Linked DNA regions of Sus scrofa. The protein of the gene in region 6 interacts with the protein of the main gene of each other region in a pairwise test. Links are inferred from orthologs where the notes say so. Each region holds a gene or a part of one and is shown on either strand. Other genes may lie near its edges.

Region 1 (4,106 bases), on a different chromosome or scaffold from region 6:
GTCATCAGCAGTACGTTCACTACAAAATAATTTATTGCAACACACAGCTAAAGCCCTAGCCTATGTACAAGCACATGCACACCCCTGCCCGGCAGCTAGGGGGCGCGTTTCTTCCCCGTGCCTTGCGGACCTCTTCTATCAGATCTTTGAGATACTGAATCTCCTTGGCCAAGGAATCTGCCTTCTCTTTCAGAGCTTCGTTCTTCTTTTCCAGCTCTTTACATTCGCCAGTGAGGGCCTCCTGCTCTGCCCTCTTCTTCTGGCGGTACCGAGTGGCTGCTGTCTTGTTCTGCTCCATCTTCTTCAGCTTCTTATCTAGTTTCTCACCCTTTACTTTTGCTGCTACCACCTTCTCTCCAGGAGGATCATAGGGTTTGGGCCGGACAGAACCACAAGGGGCCCCGGGAGAGAGCAAGCTCCTACTTGGAGAGGCCCTGGAGGTGGAGGGACTGTGCTGGGGAGAGCCCAGATAGGAGTCAGGGCTCATACAGATGCCACTGTCATTATCTGAGGGGGCATCCTCTTCCTTTATGCATTGAGGAATCAAGGTAATGTAAGTAGTGGAGTCTGGCTTCCTATCTCCTTCCGAGATTTCCACTTCACCCTGTATCTCTAAACTAAAGGAATTATCTGGAGTGGAAGACAGGGCCCCTGGGGAAAGGGGAAGAGTTTGCAAGAACGTAAAGGGGGCAACCTGGTCAGTTGTTGGTAAACTTTCTGGGAGATGGCCAATTGGGTTCACTATCTGCGGGGGCTCCTGGAGTGGGGGGTCAAAGAGATCACATGTGTCATCCAACGTGGCCAAAAGCTCATCTGGCATGGTTTCCAGGTCATCTATACCCAACAGGGCATCGAAGTCGAACTCCTTCAGATCCATTTTCTCCACCATCCAGTCTGTCCCGGAGAAAGCATCCTCTGCAAGAGATTTAAGAGGGACGGAACCCAGAGTCAGATGCACGCGGCAGCAAGGCTTTATCACCAGACCCCACCGGCAGGGAAAAGCCCACTCACCCTTGCTGTTGTCTGAGGCACTGACCAACCCATCCACAGCCAGCCATTCGGAGGAGCCCGCCTTAGCTTTGTCGCCGGAGAACCCATGAGGTTTGAAGTGCTTGGCCACCTCCAGATATTCGTCTAAGAGCCCTAAGCTCTCTTCAGCCCCCAAACCCGACGGGTCGAAGGGGGACATCAAGTCCCCCACCAACACCTCGCTGCTCAGGAAGCTCATCTCGGCCATGTTGCGGAGTTTTGATGGAATCGAGGAATGTGCTTAATTCGAAGGTGTCTTTGTCGGTTACAGCAACGCTGCTGCTGAATGCCGTGAGAAGCCTTAACAGGAACCAGAAACCAAGCCCCATTAGAGAACAGCTGGTCTGAGCCTTTCGCCTCTCCACCCCCGGGGCAGGACGGCCAAATCCCGACCCCGTGTGGTTGTTGAGACTTGGGGGCCGCTGGCCCCGGCTGCCAACCTTCCCCGCGTCCGCCTGGCGGCGCAAGATGGACGCCCGGCCGTTCCCCGACCCGCCACCAGAGGAAGGCGCCCGGTCCTCCCGGCCGAGTCCGGCCCCGCCCACGCCCGCCCGTGACTCACGCCGCGGCCGCCGCCCTGCCCCGCCGCCATCTTGGCTGCTGCCACGTTTCGTGGAGCCCCAGGGGGAGCCCCGGCCCCCCGGCCGGGGCCGGAGGTACCGAGGACTTCGCCCCACGCCCGAACAGCGCAGCGGCCTCTCGACCCAGGGGCGCTGGCGCTTCGGCGTCACCCCATCAGCGGCCACGCGTCCCGGGCGCTCGTAAAACCGCTTCCCCCTCCGCGACGCCGCCGGACCGCGCCCCAGCATCAGACAAGAACCCTTCACCGACCCGGGGGGACACGGCCCAGAGCGTCGGGCCCCGGTACTTACGCCATGGCTTAAGCCGCTGGGGGGTGCCGCTGCAGAGCCTGGTGCTGCTGCCGCCGCTGCAAAGGCCAATGCTGCCGCAGGCACTGCTGCCTCTAATACGCCATGGCGGCCGCGGACCCTGCGGGAGCGGAGGAAGAAAAGCGCCCACTCGCAGAAAAGGACTACATCTACAGCGGAGAGGAAAAGAAATGGCGGCGGTTCGCCGAGCGCGGGTCCTTTATAGACTCTGCCTCTGTGGGACGCATCACAGAGAATATTCTTCCGCCTAGGTCACGTGACCAGCGCCTCCCACCCACGCGCTTTCATTTAACCGACGCCCCTACCATTTCCAGTCTCTGACTTTTATGTCGAGGGCGAAACTGTGAGGACCAAATGAGTTACTTTTATTTACAGCCTCAAAAAAGGGCGCACTACTTTACAAGGCTTTTGAGATCTAAGGATCACCACCGTCCGCTGCCGGGATGCGCGGAAGGATCTTGCACAGCTACTTCCGGTGCTAGCCCGAGAGGCGGAGACGAGTCTTTCACCCCAAGAAGGGCTTTTATTGTGAAGTACGAGGTCTCCTGGTTATCGCGCGAGCTACTGGCGGAGAGCGCGCGTCGAAATGATTGGTTAGGCATGGTGAGTCATATATACATCGAGTTTCTATTGGCTCAGGCTCCGAGGCGGGCGGGTTGTTCAGCGAGGGAGCCCCTGATCTGCGCGGGAAGGTGGGTGAGGTTCCCGCCGCCGGGCCCCGGCGTCCTGCTCGCCGTAGCGCCGCTCTGCAAAGGCTCCCTCAGCCCCGCCCACCCAGCTGGCCTTGATTGCCCCGGGCAGCCCTGGCCCAGATCCAAATAGTGGCGTTAGGTCCGAATCCTCGTGGTCCTTTCCTGCCGCCCTTGGAGAAGCTCCGAACTAGGGACCGGGTTTAGGCCCGAATGTGAAACTAGTCAAGAGTAAATGTTATTTCGTCTGTTTTCACTTGCACACACTTGCAGAATACTGAGGACGTGTGAACCCTTCAGTAACTGGAAGGGGAGACTGATGACCTCAGCTGAGATCCACCTACCATCAAAGGCCTGCTCTGCGTCCTGACTCAACTCTGTAGAGGCGAGTCGAGTGGAGGAAATCCATAATCCTGTGGTCTAAACAATTGTATTTTTACATATCCATTCTGCTAAAATACAAGTTTCCTTTTATGTTAAAGAATGAAACCTATGACAGGGGAACTTCTTTCAGTTTATGTAGTTTCACTTCCCCTAAAAATGAGGTATTTTATTTAGCTGCTCTTTCTCACTCTAGGGTAGTTTCAATTATTTACCAACTCTGTAACTCCGCGGCATAACCACTTCCCAGCAAGTCCTACTGCCTGGGTGCTTGATCAGACCTGCCCACTTAGGGGAATTTGTGTGTTTGGAGGCCACAGTCCAGGTTAGGGCCAGTAACTTGCCCTCTCTACTGGGGAACTGTCAAGAGCTAGGAGAAAGCTCTTTCACCATCTTCCAGTCCTCCAATCAGGCCCTGTAGGGAAACCTTGAGTTTCCACTCCCCTTCATTTCAGTGGGCCCTACAAATATTATTTCTATGAGGACAGTGAGGTCAAAAATTGGTCAGGCACTTCCTACATAACAACTAACCATTCATTGATTTGAGTCAGTCTAGCCCAACCATTTCTTTACAGTGGTAAGCTGATGACTAAAGGCATGACATGTCTTGCCTGGTGTGGGCAGTATGGGGTAGGAGTTATGACAGATTTAAGGGCCAATTCCAAAAAATCTTGGCTTTCCCATTTATTAGTGGAGACATTCTGGTTAAGTGACTTACCCCCACTGAGTCTTCGTTTCCTGATCTGTAAAACGAGGCTAATGATGGGTATCCTCATCCTTAGAATGAAGTTAAGATAATATATTCACAGCACTGAGCCGTGCGCCTGGTACCTGGTAAGTGCTGGATAAATGGTTGCCATTACTCCTGTGACTAGAACGCAGGTCTTCTAACCCACCTCCCATCCCCATCATATCCTGCTCCCTCAGAGGACTGTTATTTACTGAGATGAAATCAACAACTATAAACAGCTGGTCTAGGAAAGCATACTGGATACTAGGTATGGTTTTTCTTTCCCCTTGGGGAATCTCAATTCTCTGGAAACATGTACAAGGCATCTGGTCTTTTGGTGCAAAGACAGTAAGAATCCCGAGCCACTACCCCCGAGCCACTACCCAA
Region 2 (2,277 bases), about 68 Mb from region 6:
GAGATATGATCACACAAAGGCAGGGCCCAGCCAGAGTGCTTCAGTTCAAGGGATTCCTCCAACTCACAGCCAGTTCAGAAATGTCCCCAAGGCAGGCTTTGCCCCCAACACACCTGCCAACAGGTGCCTTGCTTTCTCTTTGCATGAACAAGGCAATGCTGACCACACCTCAGTGCCAGCCAGGCTTGTGTGTGCTCTTCTTTCCACTATCCTATTCCTATACCTTTATAGACTCAGAAGGCTCATCACTGTTCCCCCTACTCTCACTGCCCCCCAGGTAAGGATTTGTGGACTTGGGTGGGGGGAAGACCTGTTGCGGAATGTCTTGCTGCTGAGCTCTGCTGTGGATTGGTAAAGAAATCATCACCCTCCCAGGAACTCCTAAATCTACAAGCAGCCTAGCCCCTAACTGCATCTTTAGCTGTCCAAGAGGGTTTTGTGAAGGATCAGTCTTCCAACCAGCAAAACCTATATGGTGGGAGATAAACTGTTCACATAAGTGATCTGTTGATTATTTTATTTATCTTACAAACAGAGTAGGGGTTAAATAAAGAGTATTGGGTTTGCCAGTATCAGACACTTGGGACTGTTTTGTTTATTTTTTTCCCCTCAAAAAAAATAGAGGGAAAGAGCAGGGAGAGTTCTTTTAATATGCAGGTGCTTCAGGGAGAACCAAACCATTTCATTTCATCTGTTATTTCCCATCCCACTGGATCTGGTGCTTGGAGGAGGGGAGGGAGATGAGATCAGTGGATCAGTCACAAGCACTGTCATCAGCATTGCCAGAGAGGTCAAGGACAGACATCATGGAATCAGACAGCTTGCTGGCGAGTTTGTCTGCAGGTAGAAAAAAACGGTCAGTTACTTGGTTATTGGCTTGCCAACAGGAGGCCCACAAGAGCTAGCCTACGGTTACCTAGGTCTGCATCAAACTCCCAAACTGGCTCACTGATCACCTTCCAACACTAAACAAAACAACTGGTGGCCTACTGGCAGCCACTGCTCAACCTCGCAGGTAGACCCATTCATCTACCTGTGAAATGATCACCCCAACATAGCCTGAATCTCAGAGTGTCAGACTTACTAAGCTTCAGTATTTTTATCCCTTCCTAGTATCAAAACAGCTATTTTCTTTCACTATGTTGAACTTAGCACCCTGCCATTACCCTCAAATCTCTCACAAGAAAGAGGCAGCATAGCAGTAGGGGCTTTGATCTGAGCCTGAATGCTCACCTCCATCCTCCAGCCACACCCTACTGTTCCTCAGGATTGCCTCAGACATCACCTCCTTCAGGAAGCCTTCTCTATCACCTCAACCCCACCACCACCTCCAGGCTGGGTTAGGTTCCCTCACCATGCTATGTCTTCAGTGACAATTTCCTCACCAAATAAGACTTTTGCAATGAGTTAGTGAAAATTAATATAGCATGTGACCCAAATGGACCAGCCACACAACGCACTACCATTAACACAAAGGGGAAAGTTCTTTTGTGAACTGAGGCATAACTATCCATAATATATGTTGAGTGGAAAAATGATGTGGCAAAAATGTACGTTCAGGAGACTAGCCATTTGTCTAGAAAAAGAGGAAGAACATACCGATATTTGCCTGTGCACCTACCTCAGGAATGAGATACAAGAAATTAAATGGCTGCCTCTGGGGGGAGGCCTGGGTGACTGGGGGAATGAAAGGAATTAGAAGCAGCTGATAAATAAATGGCTATTTGATATATAAGACTAGGCCAGTGGTCCTCCAAGTGTGGTCCCCAGAGGAGCAACATCAGCACTAATGGGGAACAAGTTAGAAACATAAATTCTCAGGCCCCATGGACAACCTACTCAATCAGAAACTCTGAAAGCAGGTCCCAGAAACCTGTGTTTCAATAAGCCCTCCAGGCAATTCTAAAACGAGCTAAAGTTTGAGAACCACTGTGGTAGCAGGAGAGCCTCCTAACCCATTTCTGCCCCCAACCCTAGCCTGGGGTTGGACACATGGAAATGCTCACTCAGAAGCCCCTAAATAAGGCTCTAGGTGGGCCCTTTCTGGAGCACAGTGGGGTGGTCAGGGACCCCCACCTGTACGCTTCTGGATCTTCTTCTTATTCTTCAGGGCAGATGCCAGAGCCTGGCCCTGCTGCAGAGGGTCTGTCTCCATGATTCTCTGTAGCATCGGGCGGCGGTCCACTGAGCAGACTTCCACTGTGCTGTTGTTTCTGGGGTGTCGGTCCACATTGCGCTTAGCCCACCCCATCTGATGACGGTTTGGATTGGTACAAT
Region 3 (4,165 bases), on a different chromosome or scaffold from region 6:
GAAATCGACTTCTCCAGCCAATGCCTCTGTCCTCCTGCTCTCCTCAAGGCTGCAAAGGACTGATGAACCCATGCCTGACTCCCTCCTTAGACACTGAGAGGAAGACACTCACATAAGCCACATTCTAGCTTGGCTGACTGCCGCCCATAGGTTCCTCAAAGTGCTCATAATCGAAATGTAATCCAAAACCTGGACTGTGTGTGTGCACGTGTGTGCACGTACCAGCCAGAGAGGAAGAGAGAGTTAACACATGTGTGCACTTACATAATATGTCGTACTTATCTGCTGCCCACCAGTGCCCACTGGTCAGGGGGACCTGTATAATGTAAGCTAGGTCATGAAGGACCTATAGAGAGATCCTAAGAAATAAGCACCCCTAAACCCAGAAGTGCACATGCTGGGAAGGTGAATTCCAAGTGTGTCCCACAGGCTCCCAGGAGTGGCTAAGGCCTATGACCCAGAGCAGTTACTGATGCTGGACATGGCTTGGAGGTGCAAGAAGTGATACTGACAACAGTATCTATGGTGTGAGTTTTGATGAATACGAAGGGAAGACAGGGCTGGAGACAAAGGCGTCTCCCAAAGAACCGCCTGGGATCAGTAACAGGGCTGTGGGACTCCCAAACGTGTCTAAAGAGTGTCAGAAAGACCTCGCAGGCCCAGGTCCCTCCCAGCCTCTGCTGTGCTGTGGTCAATACTGCAGTGAAATGACCTGGGAGCAAAGCGGAGCAAGGGCTCTCCCTCTCTCTTGGAACGCTGCTGGCCTTCGCTCCCAAAAGGCGCCCTACTCACTCTATAGCCACAAGTCTTATGCAGAAAGGGTTAACAAGACGACTAATCAAGACACTTTAGCTCCTCACCCTGGGGTGAGAACTGAAGCAGCGGCTGGTGGGGGGGAAACGGCCATTCATGGGCGCCTTGCCACCATGCGCTTTCCAGACTTCGGGATTTCAGAGAACTAGGAGGGGTCAATCCAAAGAACGGAAGCTGGGCTAACCCGAATTCCTTCCCCGACGCAAGCTCCTTGGATCCTGAGGGAAATCAGGGTGCCTCGGTCAGCGGTCCCCGCCACCCGCGGCTTGGCGCCCGCGATCCGGCTGGCGCTGGTTGCAGCGCCCAGCCCTGCGGCGCGAGGGAAAGCCGGCGCTAACCCTCTCGAGCTCCGGGGATCGATCGCGCTCTCATACACCCCTAGCTTTCAGCCACCCCCACGGAGACTTGAAGACTTCAGCAAACTTGGAGAAGCAACTTTTCCGAGGGAGCCAGACGGCAAAGAGAAAGGCAGTCGGGCTAGCAAGAGGGAAAGCGAAAGAGACCCGGACGAAAGGCGAGACTCCGGGCGGGCCGGACGCCTGGGCGAGAGCTGCGAGGAGGCTGACCCGCCCCGCGGCGAAGGAGAAGCACAAAAGCCCGACAGCGAGTTGGGGGAGGAAAGACGAAAAGGGGTCTGCGGGCTCTCCCTCTCCGCCCCAGGGCCGTGACCCCCGGGAGCAATGAGCAAGGTCCCGGGCTTCGGGCTGGTGGCGCCCAGCAGCCGGCGCGCCGGGCCCAAGCACATTGCGAGCGTCCCGGGGAGCTTGGCGAGCGAGTCTCTGCCGAGCGCGTCTGTGCGTTCCAGCGGGTCCGCGGGCCGGCGAGATCGTGCGCATTTCGAGCGCGTGCGGGAGTTCCAGTGGCTCTGCAAGCGAGCCGCAAGCTTGCCGGGGTGAGAAAAGCATCCCGAACGCATCAGGTGCAAAGCCGAGCACCCACCGAGCGCGGCCGGGAGCGCAACTGCGAGCTCCGGCGCCACGGCGGGTCCCGCCGAGAGCCGAGAAGGGCCCGGAGCGCTGGAGACCCTCCAGAGCGCACGGCCACGGTGCCCCTCCCCCCCCAAAAAAAAACCTGGGGCGGGGGGGCTGGTCAACTCTAGTCAGGAAAAAAGAGCCCACCACGTTTTGCAAAGAGAAACAAAACCCAACTGAGTCCCAGTTCTGCTTCCCTTCGCCCTAGATCTACTCCTCGGATCCTCCGATTCTAGCTTCCCAGCCGGCCGGCGAATAAACACACAAATAAACCACAGCCCTATCTCGCGCCCGCGCACCGGTCGGCATACATATGAGCACCCACAGGCTCCCGGCTCCTCCGCTGGCCCCTGGTGGTACAAAGCCTCCCGATCCCCAACCCTCTGCTCGTGCCCTCAGCCCCCGCAGACCGCTCTGCCCCCCACCTCTCGCCCCGACCGTGCCCTGGAGCGGAAGGGTTGGGGACGCAGCTGCGCCCAAGCTGACAGCCGAGGCTCCCGCTTCTAGCCGACCCCCAACCGCCGGTGGCGACGGCCGCAGCAGCAGGAAGGGAACAAGCAGAATAAAACAAGGCAGAAGCCCAACGGCCGAGTGGCCGAAGCGAGCGCGCCCCCCCAGACCTCTCCAGCCCCGGGGCGCCCCGGCGCAAGGCTACAGCTGGGCGGTGCGCCCCTCCCCGGGCCCCCACTCACCGCTGCCGAGCCGGGCGCCGTGGGGTGGGTGTGCGTGCCTCCTCGGGGGGTGTGCCTGTGTCGGGGAGGGGGGTGTTGCTGGGGAACTGTTGCTCTCGGTATCAAGGCGGCAGCGGCGGCATCGCCCGGCAGTTCGCAGTACCCGCTCTCATCGCCCTCAACTCCTCTCTACTGCGAGGTTAGCAAATCACCACCGGCTGCGGCGCCTCCGCCGCGTCCCACGTCAACGCCGAGCCCCCTCCCCTGCGAGGCCCCGGCGCCTCTCCATCTTTAGTGCTGGCGGCCGAGCCCGGCTCCCTGCCCACAGCTGCCCCCCTTCCCTCCCCCCTCCCGCGCTGTCCCCGGACTCAGCCCGCCCACCCCCCGCACTGGCCAAGCCCGCGCGCGCTCCCCGCCCCACCCCTTTCCTCCCCTCCCTTCCCTTCCCTGCGCGCCGCGCTCCGGGCTTTGCCTGACATCTAGCTGCTGCTGGGGCGCCGGCGGCCGCCGCTCACTGGCCAAGCGGAGAGGAACGGAGCTGGCGGAGAGGAGGGTCAGGGACTCGGAAGCCTTAGAGTGGGCAATGGAGGTGAGGGGCGAGGAGCAACCACCCCCCCAGGTTTTTAATTTCCACTGGACACAGGTTTTGTTTTCCCCAGCTGCTCCAAGCTTGGAGTTTTGTCCCTGGCTCCAGTATTTGCCCCTATTCAGTGCGTGTCATCTCGCCTTGCACTTTTTCTAAACGTACTCGGGGTGGCACTGCCTGTACCTCGACATCGGTTTTTGAAGGGCGCTTTACCGGCCTAAGCCCAGGCCTTTTGTGCCTCCGGGTCTTCTGAGCACCCAGACTGCCAGTAGCCTCCAGGCGCAGAGTTCGCGGCCCGGGTAAACCAGATGCTAGAGGGTCCGCGGGCTCTATCGTCGAGGGGCGGTGCCCCATTTTGGCTGTCGCGACCCCTGGAGGCCAAGGTCGAGGTCTGAGAGAAACTTTTCTCCCTCCCAGTCTTGGCCATCCCCTAGCCTTTGCCCTCCAGGGAACCTAGTTGAAAACATTTCCTGAGAACTGCACCCCCTTCAGGGCAAAGTCTTCAGGGGGCGAGTAAAAGCCCGAAGACGATTCAGAACCGCAAGTGGTTCCTCTCATCTGGCTCCTCCACTTTAGAGGATGGGGTTGAGGTCGGTAGCCCCCGGGTAGAGCCACCAGAAGAAATCTCCGGATGCGCAGAGTCCCCTTCTCCGCCCTTTTCCCTAGAGCTTGTTGAAGATAGGGCTCGAGAGGCGCAGTGGGCTAACGTCCAGGAGCGTTGGGGTGAGGGTGATGGCGGAGAGCGCCCTCCCTGGGTCTCCGGAGAGTCAGCCCTGGAGGTCATTCAGCCTTAGCAACGAGGGGCTTCAGTCACTGGGTCCCCACGTTCAGTGCCTTTATCACATCCCCAGGCACATCTCAGACACTGTCCCTAACGGAGAGTCGGGCCCCAGGAATTAAAGAGTCAGGAAGGGTGGCAGAAGCCAATAGAAGCAAAAATCTGCTCTGGCCCCATAAGGCCCCTTGGGGGAGGTTTACATCAGAACTGATCTGGGTTCAAGAGCTGCTAATGGGGTAGTCCCAAGGATAGGCAATTCCATCCCAGCCAGCAGCCCTCTCTGTTCACAAGAAAAGTGCTCAGACCTGCAGGAGTCAGAGGAGAGAAGCAAAGCTGAGGGAGAAGC
Region 4 (4,283 bases), on a different chromosome or scaffold from region 6:
ATCATAACTAAAAGGGTTGGGCTGATGGCCCTGACGGGCCAGGCTCACTCACTCTGTGCACACAGCTGCCTCCCGCAGGGGGTTTCCAGGTGTAGCAGCACTTAGTTAGCATGGAAACTTCCCTTCAGAGGCCCGTAACAGGATCCCAGCCTGGGTCCCTGATTGACGGCAACTTCCAGGACCATCTCCAGAAGTATTTGGACCTGTCTCATCTGCATGCTCCAACCATTTGGCCCCAAACTTACTTGCGCTGGATGAAGTAGGAGCCCTGCCTGCTGCTAGGAGTGAAGGTGACATGAAGAATCCGTTCCCAGCTCCAGCTGAGGCTCTTGGTCCCCTTGAAGCCCCTCACCACATCCAAGCCAGTCAGAAGAATGAAGGAGTGACCTGCCTGGAACACCCACCCTCCAGGGAGGTTAATATGCTTTCTAGTCCTGACCAGGACCCAGAACCACATCATCCTGCATCACTGGAGTTCCCCCACTTCACACACCCGAAAGGAAGCTCAAGCTGTAGAGACAACAGTCACTATACACTGTGCTGGCCCCAGTACTTTGAGGGGTCCAGGAGAGCCCAGGTCTTTCCTAGCCATGGCATTTTAATATTTCCTCTCCCTTTGGCCTGTGTTCAGCGTGTGGTCAGGCTGGCCTCCTCACTGCCCAGTTGACACAAGACGTGGGTTTAGCATAGCACATCCCGGTGGGTTGGTGGGTGGGTTGGTTTGTGAAGACAGCCAAAGCCTGGCAAATGCCGTTTTTCTCTCCTTTGATTGCAACTCTCTCGGAGGGAATGCATAGATCAGTAGTTATTTCACAAATATATGTTGGGTTCCTGCTGCGTGCGTGCTAAGTATGGTATCCAGTCAGGTGCCGGAGAGAAAAAGCCGTGAATTAATCAAGCCCCTGCTCTCTAGGAGTTTACCGTTAGTTTTCTATTTCATTTTATAGGCGAGGAGACCGAGGCCTAGATCTGCAAGTGTCAAAGGGCTGAGCTGAGACTTGCCCTGGCTGGATCCTTCTAGGTGTCTATGTGCGGTCACTCCCGCTCCTAAGGGCCTGGTCTCCCACTCCTCGGAAGCCCTTCCTGTAGCCCCTCTTCCCTGTTCCTCTCGGAATCCTGGGCTGCAGTAGCCACCTCTCCGCTTCACCGCTGACCCTGGAGGTGCTCCAGCAGAGAGCTACTAGCGGCGGGGTGGATGAAAGCAGGGGGCCGGCGAACCCGCGGTAACTCGGCTTCCCAAGCTCAGGTCCTGGGCGGGGCGTGCAACGCCAAGTCCCGCCCCCGGCTAGTCCGCTCGTCGAATGCGCACGCGCGTCTCCCAGTGGTTCCGCCCATCACCGTGGGACGTCGGCTGCGCGCGACGCGCTGGCCGCATAAATGCGGCGGCATCCGGCGTAGGAGCACTTCAGCCGGGAGAGCCTGGGCGTTCGGACGTTTGCCGGTGTCGCGGGCCGCGACAGAGCCCGCCCCTGCTCGCTGCGCCATGGCGGACGAAGGGAAGTCATACAACGGTCAGTGCTGGCCCTTGGGTCGGGGAGCCGGTCGATCTTGGGCCCTGCTGGGCTGCGCCAGCCTAGGCCGCAGCGCCGGGGCGTGAGGCCGCGAGGGGCCCGGCGTCCACGGGGAACGGCGGTGGCGCGGCGCGGGCCCGGGGCGAGGCAGCCCGGGGGCCTGGGTGAGCTTGAGGGTTGGGTGCCGGGGTTGTTGACGCTGGGATCCTCCCTTTGCGGGCCCCTGCGACTCGGAGAGGTGGCTCAGTGGTGGGGTGATGAGATTCCTTTGAACTTTGTGGGTGGTTGATGCCTGTCAGTTCAATTTGGCGGCCAAACTGTTTAATGTGAGTCAGTGCCCTTCTCCTGGGCTGATGTGCCCTATTTTCTACCGCGCGTCCAGGCGATTTTGCCCCCTCCCCCACCTAACGCGTCTGTCGCTTAGGCTTAATATTTTAGATCTGCACATCAACTCGATGTTCTGGTCCAAACACTACACTGAGTTTTAGTCCAGAGCGGTGGTTAGGAGCCGAGGTTTCAATCCCGAGTTGGCTATGCCAAGCTTGAGTAACTTACACCCTCAGACTTCGTTTTCCATCTCCTTAATGAGGATAGAAACAGTACCAGCCTTCTGAGTTTGTCTCCGTGTGTGTGTGTGTTAAAACGAGATCATTCATGTCAGGTGCCTGGAGCATAGTGCCTGACACTGGAGAAGAGTGCTCAGTGAATGTTAGCAACGACTTGTGTGCATTTATTACTTTTTTCCTAGGGTAACTTCTTGAGAAACTCATATTTTTAGTTTTTTAAGGAACCTCCATACTCTTTCCCGTAGTGGCTGCACCAGTTTTCATTCCTACCAACAGCGTAGGAGGGTTGCCTTTTCTCCACATCCTCTCCAGCATTTGTTTTTGTGGACTTTTTAATGTTGGCCATTCTGATTGGTGTGAAGTGCTACCTTATTGTGGCTTTGATTTGCATTTCTCTAATAATTAGTGATGTTGAGCATCTTTTCATGTGCCTGTAGGCCATCTGTATCGTGGGTCTTTTTTTTTTTTTCTTTCTTTCTTTTTTTTGCTTTTTAGGGCCCCAGCCGAGGCATATGAAAGTTCCCACGCTAGGGGTCCAATCAGAGATGTAACTGCTGGCCTACACCACAGCCACAGCAACGCCGGATCCTTAACCCACCGAACTAGGCCAGGGGCTGAATCCGCATCCTCATGGATCCTAGTTGGGTCCGTTAACCACTGAGCCACGCAGGGAACTCCTTCATGGGTCTTTTTTAAGAAGCGCTTCCTACACACCAGGGTTCAGAGGATCATATTCTTGGAGAGGACCCTTGGTGAAGCATCCTAACTGCCACTGGAACCTGAATTCAGGAGTTGTCTCCTTAGTTAAAAGCCTTTTCTGACCAAGAAAACAAAGAGCTCACTCCCAAACGTTCAGAGTGGCAGTTTGAGAATAAGACTTTTAAAAGAAGCCCTTAAATTGGTCCTATCTGTGTGTGGTGTTTGTATTGTATGGGCAAAAGGAGAGCTGTTTCCCCGAAAGCTAGTGTAATCATGAGGACGGATTTGCCACCTGTGAGAGGGGTCACCTCGGGGTTAAGTAGATTTGGGTGGGCCCACAGAAAGCGGATGTCGGGTGACTTTTGAGGGGTTCGAATTGTGTCCAGTTACTCTGGGTCACTCACACTTCACATTCACTTGAGAGTGGCAGTTGGAGAGCAAGATTTTTTTTTTTTTAAATCTTTTTAAATTGAGGAAGGTTGATTTACAATGTAATGTTGGTTTCAGGTGTACAGCATAGTCATTCCTGTATTTATAGATTACACTCCATTAAAAGTTATTGGAAAATAATCGTTGTCATTCCCTGTGCCGTACAACAGATCCTTGTGGCTTATCTCTCTTATACTTAGTAGTTTGTATCTCTTAATCCCATATCTTGCCTTATCTTGCCCCTCCCCCTCATAACCACTAGTTTGTTGCCTGTATCTGTGAGTCTGTTTCTGTTTTGCTGTATACATTTTATTTTTTTAAATTCCACCTGCAGGTAATGTCACATAGTATTTGTCCTTTTCCCTCTGGCTTATTTCACTAAACGTAATACCCTGCAAGTTCATTCATGTTGCAACTATGGCAAGATTTCATTCTTTTTGATGGCTGAATAGTATTCCGTTATGTGTGTGTGTATGCACCACATCTTTATCCATTAGTCTCTTGGTGAACACTAGGATCGCTTCCATAGCTTGGCTACTGTAAATAGTGCTACCGTGAACATGAATCTTTTTGCATTATATATTTCTTTCTAGATGTATATCTAGGGGTGAAATTGCTGGTGGTCATATGGTAGTTCTATTTTTAGTCTTTTGAGAGGAGAACAAGACTTTAGAAGATGCTTGTGGAGTTCCCTGGTGGTTCAGCAGGTCGAGGATCTGATGCTGTCACTGCTGCAGCATGGGTTTGAGCCCTGCCCTGGGAACTTCTGTATGCCTTGTGGGTGCAGCCAAAAAAAAAAAAAAAAAGGTCTTAAATTGGTCATATTTGTAACTGACATTTGTGCTCTATAGGCAAGAGTCCTGTTTACCAGAGCTGATGTAATCATTGAGATTGGTTTTTCCCCTTGTGATTGGTTTTCCTTTGTGATTGGTTTCCCAAGATATAATCACTGACCACATTTCCAGTGGAGTTAAGTAGACTTGGGCACTTGAGAGCAGGCAGTTTTCAGGTGACCTGACCGAGTGTGAGTTGTGTCCAGTTACTGCTCGGGACACTCGCACTTCCACATTCTGCTTCT
Region 5 (3,500 bases), on a different chromosome or scaffold from region 6:
GAGAGATTGGGGCATTAGAGGATAAAGGCACATCCAGTCTGATGGGGAAGGAGAGAGGCTCCCCTTACCCTGGGGGTAGGGTGGACAAGAGGGAGGGGGTATGACCCTGTTACACACCCCTCCACTAGCTCCTGGAGGTTGGGGGGGACCCAAGCTGCTGTGCCACCCCCCTCCCCCCTAGATAAGAGCAGCTCCAGCGCAGGTCAGTCGGGCCTGTGAGGGCCATGGTGTTGGGCAGCAAGCGAGATGGAGAAGGGAGGGATGCGGGCTGGAGGGTTTATGAAACCCCATTCACCAAACTACCCAACTCCAGGGGGGCGGAGAGCTCCCCATTCTCTGAGGGGCCCTTAGGAAGCTTGCTGACAGAGTCACCCTGAGGGGGAAATGGGAAAGAAAACGGAGAGGACGAAAAGAGAAGGGTCAGTAGAAATCCAGGTAACGACAAGCCCCTACCGTCCCCTTGCGCCAGGCATCCGCTGACCCGGGGGTTGGTTCACCTGATGGGACTCTAGTCACATTTACTCAGATCCAGAAAATAAGAACCCAACTTTCCTTTCTCCTCTACTGAAACTTTCCAGTATTCTAAATGCAGCCTACACTCCGTCAGACACACCTTCTCTGCAATTTAGTAAGAGATTTCTTTGGCAGTTTTCTTGTGCCCCCCCTGCCCTAGAACAACAAAAAAGGAGGTAGGGGGAACTACATCTTGCTTGCCTACCTTCTGTCCTGAAAGAGAATCCTCTGAAGGTTTAGTGCGTTCCAGGGGTGGCCGCTGGCGGCTCTGAGACTCTGCTCGGGAGATATAGTCAGCCACAGTCACTGGGGAAGGCAGAGGACCGAGTTTCAGAAGGGACCCAGGTACCCGACCACTGAACCCCAAGCCCGAGAGTTCACAGGCTAGGAGGCAGCCTGTTCTCTGAGGAAGGAGCTGAGCCCCAGGGCTGGCTGACCTGGCTGACGGTCTCCACTGACAGAACCATCAGTCCGGTTACCACGGTTGCGGCGGCGGCGGCTCCGATTACGACGCTGGGGTCTTGACTCATCTTCTGTGGGGCAGGGAAAAACAAGAGCTGTGCATCAATCTCCCACCTCTCAATTCTTGCCCAGTTCTAATTTTTCGGACCCAGGTACACCCCTTACTTACCCAGGCCATTCTCTGTCATGCTGGGCCCGTCAGACTCTAGGCCTCCATCCATGACAGTCCTGTCTTCATCAGTGCGGCGGCGGCGGGAGCGGCGGCGCCTGGCACTTGCTGGGGGGGGTTCCCCTGGCTCTGAATCAACTGGGGGCTCCGGTTCAGATGTGTCCAGTAGGCTGTAGGGATTACTGTCTGGGTCTTTCAGCACTGGTTAGAGGAAGAAGAGTTAGGAGTCAGGTGCCATCACCGCATCCTTCCTTTTGGCGCACATTCACAAACCCAGCTGTTTGCTTCTGGTACCTGAGCTGATAGACGAAGAGTTGTATCTCGAGGTGGGCCGGGGGGCAGGCGGGGGTCCCCTACCCCGGCCCCCAACAGGCCGCCTCCGGCTTTCTTCCGACCGAGTCGGGGGATCCCTGTCACCGGGCCCAGCTCGGCTGAGCTCCTCCCTCTTCTCTGACTCCGTCTCAGAAGCTGTAGATGGGTCTGAGCTGGGGCCTGACGAACACCAACACAGTGAGGTTCAATCAGGGTCACTCTCCCTACCCCAGGATCCATCACAGCCTCCAGGCTGAAGACTCTCTCTCTCCTAAGTCCTCCAGCCAATCACTTTGTTTTCTTCCTTTTTTTCTTTTTGGTCTTTTTAGGGCTACACCCACGGCATACGGAAGTTCCCAAGCTAAGGGTCGAATTGGAGCTGCAGCTGCCTACGTGGCCACAGCAACTCGGGATCCAAGCCTCTGCAACCTACACCACAGGTCACGGCAACACCGGATCCTTAACCCACTGGGCAAGGCCAGGGACTGAACACGCATCCTCATGGATACTAGTTGGGTTCGTTACCAGAGACACAACAGGAACTCCACTTTTTCATCTTCTCTATCACCCTTTCCTCAAGCTTCCACCCAGACCTCTGCCCCCGCCCACCACCACTGCCCTGCCTCCCTCTCCCATAGCCGGCTCACCATAGGCAGGACCGCCTGTCCTCCGGCCCCGGCCCCGGCCCCCATAGCTGCCCCCATAGGTTCGTGTGGTGTGGAGAGAGGAGGAAGAGCTCTCGTCCGTGGTATATCCAGCCTTGTCACTGCCACCGCTGCCCCGCCCACTCCCAGGAGGGCGAAAGCCCAGCCCAATCTGCCGAAGCTGTTCATCAATCTGCAGCCTCTCCAGGCGAAGCTGCTCCACCTCCTGGTTGGGCAGAAGTCAGAGAAAAAACAAGGAAGGAGAAAAAAGTATAAGCTCAACAACAGCCTCTCTGCATGCTTCTCTGCCCTGACTGTCCCTACATATCTGAACTCTCAGGAATGCAAGAAGGCTTAACACAGAAAATTCTGGAATCCAGCCCCACAGCCCCAAGTTTCCACCCCATGGTTTCTGTTCTACTCAGACACAAACTGGGAAGCATCACTTTTAACTTTTTCCACCAGCATCCTTAGTCCCCTTGTACACGCGGCTCTTTCCTCTCCCAGGCTTCCGGCTTGGGTACCTGCAGGTAGGAGAGGTGATATTCCAGCAGAGCCTGAGCATTGCTGATATTCTCTCGGGTGCCAACAAATATGAAGGGAACCATTCCCTGGAGAGCAGGGGGGAGGACAGACGGATTAGAAGGAGACTTAAATGAAGTGTAAGTCCACCCGAATGAGATCTTTCTGGGCTCTACGTCTACTAGGGGAAGTCAAAGTCCCGGTGCCCCAACCCCTAGAAAGTCCAGCCCTCAGAGAATGGCTTAGAGAATGATCCCATCTACTTTCAGAAACCAGTCTCTAGGTATAGCTGACCCATACCTCCTCCCTGGGGTTCTTCTTGTCATTATCACCTTCTACTCGAACCCTCACCACACCAGACTTATCCACAATCTCCTGGATCACTTTTCCATTCTTTCCAATCACTTTGCCTAAATGGATAAAGGAGAAATTAGGCCTTTAAAAAAAAAAAAAAAAAAAAAAAAGGAAAGAAAGAAGAGTAAAAACAGACAAGATAAACAGTCTTCCAGCTTTTTAATAATGATTCTGTTTAACAGTTCTCCTGCTTCTAGGCTTCTGGTGCATTTTCATAGGATAAAATATAACAATCCCTAGAAACCTGTTCTCCCATTTTTGTCACTCCTACTATAGACTGTTTGCTCTGTCCTTGCAAAACCGGAAGTTCACAGGGAGGCGCCAAGCCCAGAATCAATTTAAAGACTCTTGGAGTTCCCTCATGGCTCAGCAGATTAAGGATCCAGCATTGTCACTGCTGTGCTTCTGGTTATACCTGTGGCATGGGTTTGATCCCTGGCTCAGGAACTTCTGCATGCCACGGGAATGGCCAAAAATTAAAAAACAAAAACAAACAAAACAATGACTCTCACAACTGGTCCCTC
Region 6 (4,097 bases):
ATGCTATGTAGAGAAATGAAGCAAGGCAAACGTTAGAGGTTACTGGCAGAGAGTGGGGTGCTCTGATAGATGAGGTAGTTAGGAAAGTCCGCTTTGAAAATGGAGGAAGAGTCAGGCAGTAAAACCAGGAGAACATTCTGAGGCAAAAAAGAAAGTACAAAGATCCTGAGGCCAGAGCCACTCAGTGTGTGTGAGCCTCAGCAAGAAGGACAGTGTGATGACAGCAGAGCAGGAACTGGGACAAGGCAAAGGGAGTGAGGCAGGGCTTGATAGGCCATTACCGAGACTTTGGTTTTTATTTTGAGCGAAGGGGGAAAAACTATTGGAGGGTTTTGAGCAGGAAAGTAAAGAGATCTAATGTTTGTCCTAAAGGATTCCTATATCTACTCTGGAGTATGTATATAATACACACACACACACACACAACTTGAGGAAGAGAAGAGTGGAAGCTAAGTGATGAGCTGCAACAGTCTGTGTGAGAAAGGAGGGCTGGCCTTAGGGTGGTAGTGCTGTTTAGAGATCCCCAGGTAATTAAACTGCTGATATATTTAAAAAGCAAAGCTAAAAAAATATATTGGCCCCAAGGTCCTCACCCTGACTTATTTGTCAACTATTTGAATAATCACATTCAAAGTAGAAAACAAAACTATTTTAAAAACACATGTGTTCATTGTTAAGCAAAGAACAATAACCAGTAGTAGGACATGAAATAGAGTCAAAGATAGGCAGGACTCATGCAAATGGTGATTGGATACTAACTTTTGCAGAACTTTTTACACTTTGCTATTTAAAAGTAATTTTAAACAAAAGGATAGAGGTACACAATATTATTTTACAACTAAAGAAAAACCTCTTTTTAAGTATTACTTTGTCATGAAAGACAGGACTCCTGAACGTCTTTCATAACTCTTAAAGGATGTGACTCCTGCGGTGCAGCCAGAATTGCTAATAGTTCTCTGAGTGAGGGAGATTTAAACACGCAAAGAAATGTGTTAAAACCACATAAATGGAATCTGGTGGCCACAGACCCACCGAGGAACATTGAGTCGTTTGGGTTGAAGGGTGGTTAATCCTTTAAACTTGAGCAGGTTAACCCTCTCTGGGAGATGGATCTTAGCGTTTGCTCGGCCTTGGCTAAGGCCTGGCCCGCATCTAGGGCTGGATCTCCCCCCACTGCCTTTATCCACGGGCCGGGAGAACTGCGAGCCAGCAGCCCGAGACCCTGCCCGCCTCCTTGCCTGGCCACGCCCTCCCTCTGTCCGCTCCACTCTGGCCACGCCCCTCCTTTCTCCAGTGCCCGCCTCCCTCCAAGCGGGCGGCGCCGGCGTGCCGGCCGTCAGAGCCGCTGTGTGGGTGGAGCTTGCGCAGCTGCCGGGACCCCTGCGCGCACCGCCTCTCGCCCCTGGCCGCCGCGCGCCTCCGCGGACACGCACTTCCTGCAAGGCCTCCTTGCTCACCTTAGCCGATCCGAACCGAGCTGAGCCCATTCTTGCTCTTACAAGCTGTTCGCCATGGTGGACGAGCTGGTACTGCTGCTGCACGCGCTCCTGATGCGGCACCGCGCCTTGAGCATCGAGAACAGCCAGCTCATGGAACAGCTGCGGCTGCTGGTGTGCGAGAGGGCCACCCTACTGCGCCAGGTACGTCCGCCGAGCTGCCCGGTGCCCTTCCCCGAAACGTTTAACGGTGAGAGCTCCCGCCTCCCTGAGTTTATCGTGCAGACGGCGTCTTACATGCTCGTCAACGAGAACCGGTTCTGCAACGACGCCATGAAGGTGGCATTCCTAATCAGCCTGCTCACCGGGGAAGCCGAAGAGTGGGTGGTGCCCTACATTGAGATGGATAGCCCCATCCTAGGTGATTACCGGGCCTTCCTCGATGAGATGAAGCAGTGTTTTGGCTGGGATGACGACGAAGAAGACGACGAAGAAGATGAAGAAGCTGATTACTAGGCCGGGAGACCCTCGGGCCTAGGGGGGTGGGCCCTGCACGCCGCCACCACCCCCCGCCCCGCTTCGCTCCTCCCGGAGCCGCGACACTTCCCTCGCTCCCTATCTGCTTCCCTAGTCTTCCTAGTCTTCGCTCTGGTTCTCTTCCTTATTCACCGCTCCCCCCCCCCCCCCCCCCCCCCCGTAGTGTTTGTCTTTGTTCTGGGAATAGTGCTACAGTTACCTGCTGCTGGGGCTGGGGCCTCTCTGAAGTGCGCTGCCTCCCACTCAGGCCAGTCCCAGGGCCCAACCCTGCTAATTTGAACTGTGTTCTGAGCCCCAACTATAGGGCAGACTGTTACAAACTGGTCAGACTACCCACAGCCCTGCCGATTGTCAGGCCTACATCTGCCCAAAGACCGACGCTGCCACCTAACCAACCTCCATCACATTCCAGCGACAGACAGACCAGGCCTTTGGAGACAAGGACCAACCTAGAAGATGCTTTTAGTTGGCTATACCACCTGGGACATTGATTTGGACTGCTCACGCCCACCCCACCCCCCCACGAGGGGCGAATCTTTGCACCTGGTTCGTTCCCTCCTTTCCTAACTCATAGAGTCTTCTCCTGCCTCACCAGGTTGCTGCAGGGGCCCGTTGTGCCTGGCAGCCAAATTATTGACATTTCTCTTATGCACCAGTTTTGCACAACTGTCATTTTTCTTTTAAAACTGAAGCAGTCCCACAGCTGTGTGCATTTGGACAAAAATACTAAAAACAAAAACCAGACAGACAAAAGCAGGTACTCAGCCCAGCTCCTCAATACTACATAGAAAAAGCATTTGCATTCTTTTCAATAAATATCAAGCACTACGGAAAAAAAAGAGCGTCTTTTAATGGTTAAGTGCTATCATTGGCCTTTGCCACTCTCACCCTGACTCCCATTATTCCTACTGATATCAGAGAGCCTAGTTCAATCCCATTATTCTCTACTGTCATGTCTGGGCAATAGAGGACTGCTACTACAGAGCTTTATAGGGAAACTGGTGCTCCCCTCACCAAGGCACTTTTTAAAGCCCTGGTGAAGTGAGTGTCCTCTGGGGCTTCCAGGATGGGATGAATAAGGGGTAGTTGAGTAGATGGCACACCATCCCAAACTGGGACACTCGAGAGAAAAAGGGGGCACTATTACTAATCGGAATGGGACAATAGGCGTACATCAGGGCACATACCATATTCCTGTCTTCCTGAGCTTTTGGGTTCTTTCTCAGCCCTGCCAGGCAAGTGCTGCCTCTTAACTCTTATTCCTTGCAGGGTGCTGTTTGAGTTCAGGCTTCCATAAACAAGGTAGCACATTGTTTCAATACCGATTTTAGATGCTTGAGCTAATGTTAAATCCTGAGTCCTGGGTAAATGCACCCATAAGTGGAGCCAGATTTTAATGTTTCATCCTCCTTGGGCAGATAACCCTTAAGATCCCCACCCATCTGTGTGCCCCAGATTCCTGCCTGTAGAAATCGACAAGATGCCTGGCTATCTCCCATACTAGATCTTGTAATGCTGTCTGAGCTGTGCTGAGATCTTTTTGTGGGCCTGGAGGGCTGGAGGCCCTAAGGGAGTGGGGTGAGTGCTGAGAATAATCTCTACTTTTGTGAGCCCATAACCCCAGGTTAAGTCTTTGAAATGTTAAATCAGGGAAGCCTGATTAGGGGATTTGTGGGGCCTATCGCTGCCAGCCAGGAACTGTCAGGAGGATTTGAGGGGTTCAGAATTCTGATTCTTACATGTATCTGCCCAGATGTCTTCTGTACCATGCCGGGAACCAGCCCTACTTTAGAACCTCTAATTTAGATAATAAAATTCCTTCTTGTTTAAGACCTTTTGATGCTGAGTGTTTTATTTGTACCAATAAACCTTACATTGTGGGTTCAATGAGATACAGGGAACAGGTCTCTTGCTGTTGAGCTGGGCTTCAGTAGGAAGGTGTTAGGAGTGAACAGGAGCAGAATAAGCTCAGCAGAGAGAATGGAAATGAGAGCATGACAAGAGTTCATTTTTACTCTTTGGGATCTGACATGAAGTCAGATAGAAAACCAGTTTACTTGGTGAACAGACAAAGTCTAGAGCAAGAGTCATCTTTTGGACCTAAGAAAGTTGTTTCTGTAGGGT
Region 7 (4,204 bases), on a different chromosome or scaffold from region 6:
CAGGGCCCCTCTCTAACTTCAACCAGAAGATCCTCCACCTTCCTCTAGGTCAAGGCCAAAGCCCTGAGCCCCCTGCACGCCCCGGCACATCCTGACCGCCCATCGGGGACGGAAACCAAACCCCCTCCAGGCCAGACCAGCAGGGGCTGCGACCTGGTCCAGGGACCCGAGGCGCAGCCACAGCCCGAGGCCCCGCAGCCTCCCGGCGGCAGCAGTGGTCTTGCGCTCTCGGCATCTCCCTCGCTCCCTCCATCAGGCACTAATCTATTACTCATGGCAGTTTCTGAGTGATGAAAGCCCAGCCGTTTTCAATAGAGCACGGTATGGACGAATTCTGCAGGAGTGATGAAATGTTTCTTCTGCTCTGGCAATTAGGACGGCACAAAGTCGCCTGTCCCCGGTGCCACCCCAACATCAAAGGATGAGAATTCAAAGCCACTCATGCTGCATTGAAACCTCACAATGAAGCTGGAAAATGGAAGTCGATTACTGGACATAAATATGCAGTAGTTAAAAGGAAAGAGTTATAATGAAATTAAACTGCAGCAACCCCACGATGTGTGGAAACTTCCAGAACTCAAGGCCTCCTGGTAAACATGGAGAAGGGCACCCTCAGACAGCAGGTCTCCGACCACTGAGTCTGGACCTGCTCCCCAGCTGCACGTGGCCGGGGTGCCAGGCTGGTCTGTCCATCTTGCTACAGCAAGGGCCCCCACAGCCTCTGCGAACTGGGCATTTAGAGATTTTTTTTTATTTTGCATGGCTGTGAAGCTGCTGACCACAGAACATTCTCTCCTGGCTCACGGCTGCTCAGGCCACATCTGTCCTTGGTCCCCAGGCCTTCCAGGCCTACGTGCAGACCACAGTCACCCACCCCCCCACCCCCGCCTCCAACCTCCCCCATCCCAGGGCTCTCCCAGGGGCACTCGAGCTGCCAGGTCCCCTTGCAGGAGGAAGAACCAACCCTAAAGAGGGCAGTGTTACAACTGCCTGCGCAGAAATCCTGCTTCTTTTCTGATTGATTACTGCTCTCTTTAGGAAGGTTTCTGATCTTGAAAATAAAAGCCCAGAACACAGAAAGCTATAGAAGTCTAACAATGTGTCAGAGTGTGTGTTTTTAAGGCAGGAAAATACTTCCCTCCCACACAAATGTGAGTTCTGGGGAAAGATGCCACAGATCCCAGGGAGCAGAGTATCTGGGAAAGCTTGATCAGTCTTAAAAATAGACAATTGAACACAGATTTTAGAATTCTCAGGAGCTACCTGAAAAAAATTTAAACCCCACATATTTTTGATATCCAGAGCTCCATTCTGATGAAACTTCTAACAGGGTGGCATTTTGCATTTCCAATTATAATAGAGTAATTGTGTTGCCATAGTGACTGCAAAATTCTGCAATAACTTTTGTTGCTTTGTAATTGCTGTAGTGTATATTTGTGTACAAGCAGCTGAGTTTTCTTAATTCAATCTCTCGCCCTCCCCCCCCACCTTTCCTGGCCCGATCCTGAAACCACCACACCTGTGCTCACAGCTTTCATTCGCTTCACCGTCTCCGAAATAACGTACAGAATTATCAGAAGCAACGAAAACTCAAGGCAATCACGATCATGTTACAAAAGAAAAAGTGAAACCAGGCCAAGGTGCAAACCCACCAGAATTCCCATCCCGCTGGGCTGGCGCTGGGCGAGGGCTGTTTACATGTTTGCTCCCAGGCCTCTCATGCTTAGGTGGTTTGTGGGAATAAACAGAAAAGCCTGAGTAGAGAAAAGAGGGGGAAGCAAAGTAACTACCCAGGCCCTTTCCTCCCTCACCGAGGGCAGGCGGAGCTGCTGCGAGCAATTAGGTAGGTCTCTACAGTAATGCAATTAGGATTTAGTTAAGAAAGTCATTAGTTTTAAAATAACTTGAGTTTAATTTCTGCAACACTTTATTTGAAAATTGTGTCACAGCAGGTCAATTTACAACATGCAATAAAGCAAACACTCATATCAGCTGCTGCAAGTTATTACAAATTTTTGATGTGCATTAAATGAGTACACTGGGTCCCACCCCCGGCCTTTCCGACTGATACGCACGATCTCCTGCTAGAACAGTGTCAAATAATTCCACGCTAAATGTAAATACGAGATAATTTGCTTATAATTCCATGGTGTGTGCTTGCAACGCCCGGAAACGCGGCTCACATCCTCGGGGCAGGACGGGGCCACAGCTCGGCCTGTGGGAAGCCTGCGGGCACCCACTCGGGTCGTGAGCACCCCCACCCCTGCCGTTCCGGGCCGGGGCACACACCAGGCGACGGCGCACCCCGCCCGCGAGCCCCGCGGAGGGACGTTTTTCTGCAAACTCACAGCCTCGACAAAGTTACATAAACGGCGCCCGCCCGGGCTCGGGAGCCCCCGGCCCACCTGCCGAGGGCTCGGCCTGGACGGGCGCGGGCGCCCGGGGCCAGCCGGCCATCCTGCCCCGGCCGCGCGTCGGCCCTCGCCGGCTGGGGCAGCAGGGGAAGGTCCAGGACGGGTCCTCCCGCTCCGGACGCCCGCGGGCTGGCGCCACGCGCGGCCTGGGCGCACGGGCCGGGCCGGGCCGGCCGGCCGGGCGGACCCCGGCGTCCACCTGCCGGGGCCGGGCGGCGGGGGGCGTGGAGGCCGGCGGGCGGCCTGCGGGCGGGCGGGGGGTGGACAATGGCCCGCGGGCCGGGCCGGGGCAGCGCTTACCGCGGCGGCGGCGGCGGCGGCGGGCGCTCTAGCCCCGCGCGGGCGCTCCGAGCCGCATCTCCTCAGCCTGCGCCGCCACCACCACCGCGGGCGGCAGGCGGGCGGGCGCTCGGGCGGCGGCGACAGCGGGGACGCGGCCGCGGCGCGCCGGGCCCAGGCGGCTGAGGCGGCGGCGCGGGCGGGCGGGCGGCGGGCGGGCGCGCGGGCTCGGGCGCGGCGGCGGCGGCGGCGGCGGCGGCGGGGACGGTGCTCCGCGGCGGCGGCCCCACAACCTCCCCTCCTCATTCACAAAAAATTGACCCACGTTGAACCATGATGCTGCTCCCCCCTCCAGCACCGAGCGGGGCACTGATAGGCCACCGCCGACGCCCGTCAGCCGCCCCGGCCCCGCCCCCCGGCGGGCGGCTCTGCAGCCGTTGGCTGCGGCGGCTTTGCATCACCTCCCCTCGCGGGCCCCTCCCTCCTGCCGGGTTTCTAATGAAGAGCTCGTCAATTACGGCTCGGCCCCGCCCTCCCCGGGAGCCCGGCCGTCCTTCCATTGGTCCGCGGGAGCCCCGGGTACCGCCCCGTTTGCTCCCGCCCCTCGGCCAGCGGCCGCCAACCGCCAGGCCCGACGCCCTACGAACGGCAGGGATGCTCCACCCCTACCCGCCTTCTCCGGTACGTCCTGGTTCCTATTGGCTGCCGGAGCTGCCAATCCCAGGGGCGGGGCTATCAGAGGACGCTCCAGGCGCCAGCCGCTGGGCGCTTGGCGGTTGGGAAAGTGGAGAGAGCCCGGGCTTGTGGTGACTGTGAGCAGGGCAGGGGCTCTGGCGAGCTTCACTCTCCGGCCCCCCCGAGAGCTGCCCACGGTGGCTTAACAATCATGACCGCGGGCCTGCCCGCCTAGTGGGCGCAGACCGGGGCGGAGGCTGAGGCGGGGAGCGGGTTAGGCCCGGCCACAGCCTCCATCTTGGGTACTGGCAGTGGTCACGTGGTGGTGCCGCCTCCCGGAGGCGCAGGGGCGGCGCGAGAGGCGAGTGCGCAGGCGCAGCGGGCCCCGCCCTGCCCCGCGGCGGGAACGCGGCCTTTGGGGCTGGGGCTGGGCTGGCCGGCCTTCCCGCGGGCGTGGGGCGGGCGCAGCGCGCCTGCGCGGCTGGGAGGGACGGGGCGGCTGGCTCGCCGGGTGGTCCCAGCCGTGTCCGCCTCGCTCGACTCCGTCGACCAGCCCGTCTGCCTTGGGTGCTCAGTGTTTGAGGGATGCCGTGCTGGGGTGGTTTGTGCTGTCAAGCGGCCGCATGGGGCTTCGCGGAGGCCCTCGGAGACCCCTTGGGCCGCCCACCCGAAGGGCGTGGCGGGGTCTCCGGCGACCACCCCCTGGTCGTTTCATTTCCCAGCCTCGGTGCGCCTAACGTTTTTCAGAATCCCTGCTCTCCACCTAGTGAGGGAAGCACTGAGGGTGCGCGGATGCACGAGCTGAGAGCCAAGATGAGTGTTGAGACCTGGAGTTC

The links.
Region 1: the proteins of LDOC1 (region 6) and ATF4 interact in binary tests that used the Homo sapiens proteins (3 or more experiments, as listed by UniProt). The link is inferred for Sus scrofa from reciprocal best matches to the Homo sapiens genes LDOC1 and ATF4.
Region 2: the proteins of LDOC1 (region 6) and GNL3L interact in binary tests that used the Homo sapiens proteins (3 or more experiments, as listed by UniProt). The two-hybrid records come from large-scale screens. The link is inferred for Sus scrofa from reciprocal best matches to the Homo sapiens genes LDOC1 and GNL3L.
Region 3: the proteins of LDOC1 (region 6) and ZBTB16 interact in binary tests that used the Homo sapiens proteins (3 or more experiments, as listed by UniProt). The two-hybrid records come from large-scale screens. The link is inferred for Sus scrofa from reciprocal best matches to the Homo sapiens genes LDOC1 and ZBTB16.
Region 4: the proteins of LDOC1 (region 6) and NXF1 interact in binary tests that used the Homo sapiens proteins (3 or more experiments, as listed by UniProt). The two-hybrid records come from large-scale screens. The link is inferred for Sus scrofa from reciprocal best matches to the Homo sapiens genes LDOC1 and NXF1.
Region 5: the proteins of LDOC1 (region 6) and FXR2 interact in binary tests that used the Homo sapiens proteins (3 or more experiments, as listed by UniProt). The two-hybrid records come from large-scale screens. The link is inferred for Sus scrofa from reciprocal best matches to the Homo sapiens genes LDOC1 and FXR2.
Region 7: the proteins of LDOC1 (region 6) and HDAC4 interact in binary tests that used the Homo sapiens proteins (3 or more experiments, as listed by UniProt). The two-hybrid records come from large-scale screens. The link is inferred for Sus scrofa from reciprocal best matches to the Homo sapiens genes LDOC1 and HDAC4.

The regions. Positions count from the first base shown.
Region 1 is NC_010447.5:8,742,953-8,747,058, forward strand, and holds ATF4 (cyclic AMP-dependent transcription factor ATF-4), read right to left. Parts: upstream 2,801-4,106; 5' UTR 1,902-2,800; intron 1,330-1,901; 5' UTR 1,238-1,329; coding exon 1,012-1,237; intron 916-1,011; coding exon 56-915; 3' UTR 12-55; downstream 1-11. UniProt on the Homo sapiens protein: Transcription factor that binds the cAMP response element (CRE) (consensus: 5'-GTGACGT[AC][AG]-3') and displays two biological functions, as regulator of metabolic and redox processes under normal cellular conditions, and as master transcription factor during integrated stress response (ISR).
Region 2 is NC_010461.5:47,282,744-47,285,020, reverse strand, and holds the end of GNL3L (guanine nucleotide-binding protein-like 3-like protein), read right to left. Parts: coding exon 2,077-2,277; intron 838-2,076; coding exon 755-837; 3' UTR 501-754; downstream 1-500.
Region 3 is NC_010451.4:41,638,171-41,642,335, reverse strand, and holds the start of ZBTB16 (zinc finger and BTB domain-containing protein 16), read right to left. Parts: upstream 2,801-4,165; 5' UTR 2,477-2,800; intron 2,457-2,476; exon of another isoform or gene 2,210-2,456; intron 985-2,209; exon of another isoform or gene 861-984; intron 1-860. UniProt on the Homo sapiens protein: Acts as a transcriptional repressor. Transcriptional repression may be mediated through recruitment of histone deacetylases to target promoters. May play a role in myeloid maturation and in the development and/or maintenance of other differentiated tissues.
Region 4 is NC_010444.4:8,968,585-8,972,867, forward strand, and holds the start of NXF1 (nuclear RNA export factor 1), read left to right. Parts: upstream 1-1,483; coding exon 1,484-1,511; intron 1,512-4,283.
Region 5 is NC_010454.4:52,886,258-52,889,757, forward strand, and holds part of FXR2 (fragile X mental retardation syndrome-related protein 2), read right to left. Parts: intron 3,033-3,500; coding exon 2,923-3,032; intron 2,712-2,922; coding exon 2,625-2,711; intron 2,327-2,624; coding exon 2,104-2,326; intron 1,637-2,103; coding exon 1,439-1,636; intron 1,346-1,438; coding exon 1,145-1,345; intron 1,047-1,144; coding exon 951-1,046; intron 820-950; coding exon 719-819; intron 374-718; coding exon 278-373; 3' UTR 1-277. UniProt on the Homo sapiens protein: mRNA-binding protein that acts as a regulator of mRNAs translation and/or stability, and which is required for adult hippocampal neurogenesis. Specifically binds to AU-rich elements (AREs) in the 3'-UTR of target mRNAs.
Region 6 is NC_010461.5:115,579,325-115,583,421, forward strand, and holds LDOC1 (protein LDOC1), read left to right. Parts: upstream 1-1,297; 5' UTR 1,298-1,511; coding exon 1,512-1,952; 3' UTR 1,953-3,805; downstream 3,806-4,097. UniProt on the Homo sapiens protein: May have an important role in the development and/or progression of some cancers.
Region 7 is NC_010457.5:138,654,467-138,658,670, forward strand, and holds the start of HDAC4 (histone deacetylase 4), read right to left. Parts: upstream 2,801-4,204; 5' UTR 2,715-2,800; intron 1-2,714. UniProt on the Homo sapiens protein: Responsible for the deacetylation of lysine residues on the N-terminal part of the core histones (H2A, H2B, H3 and H4).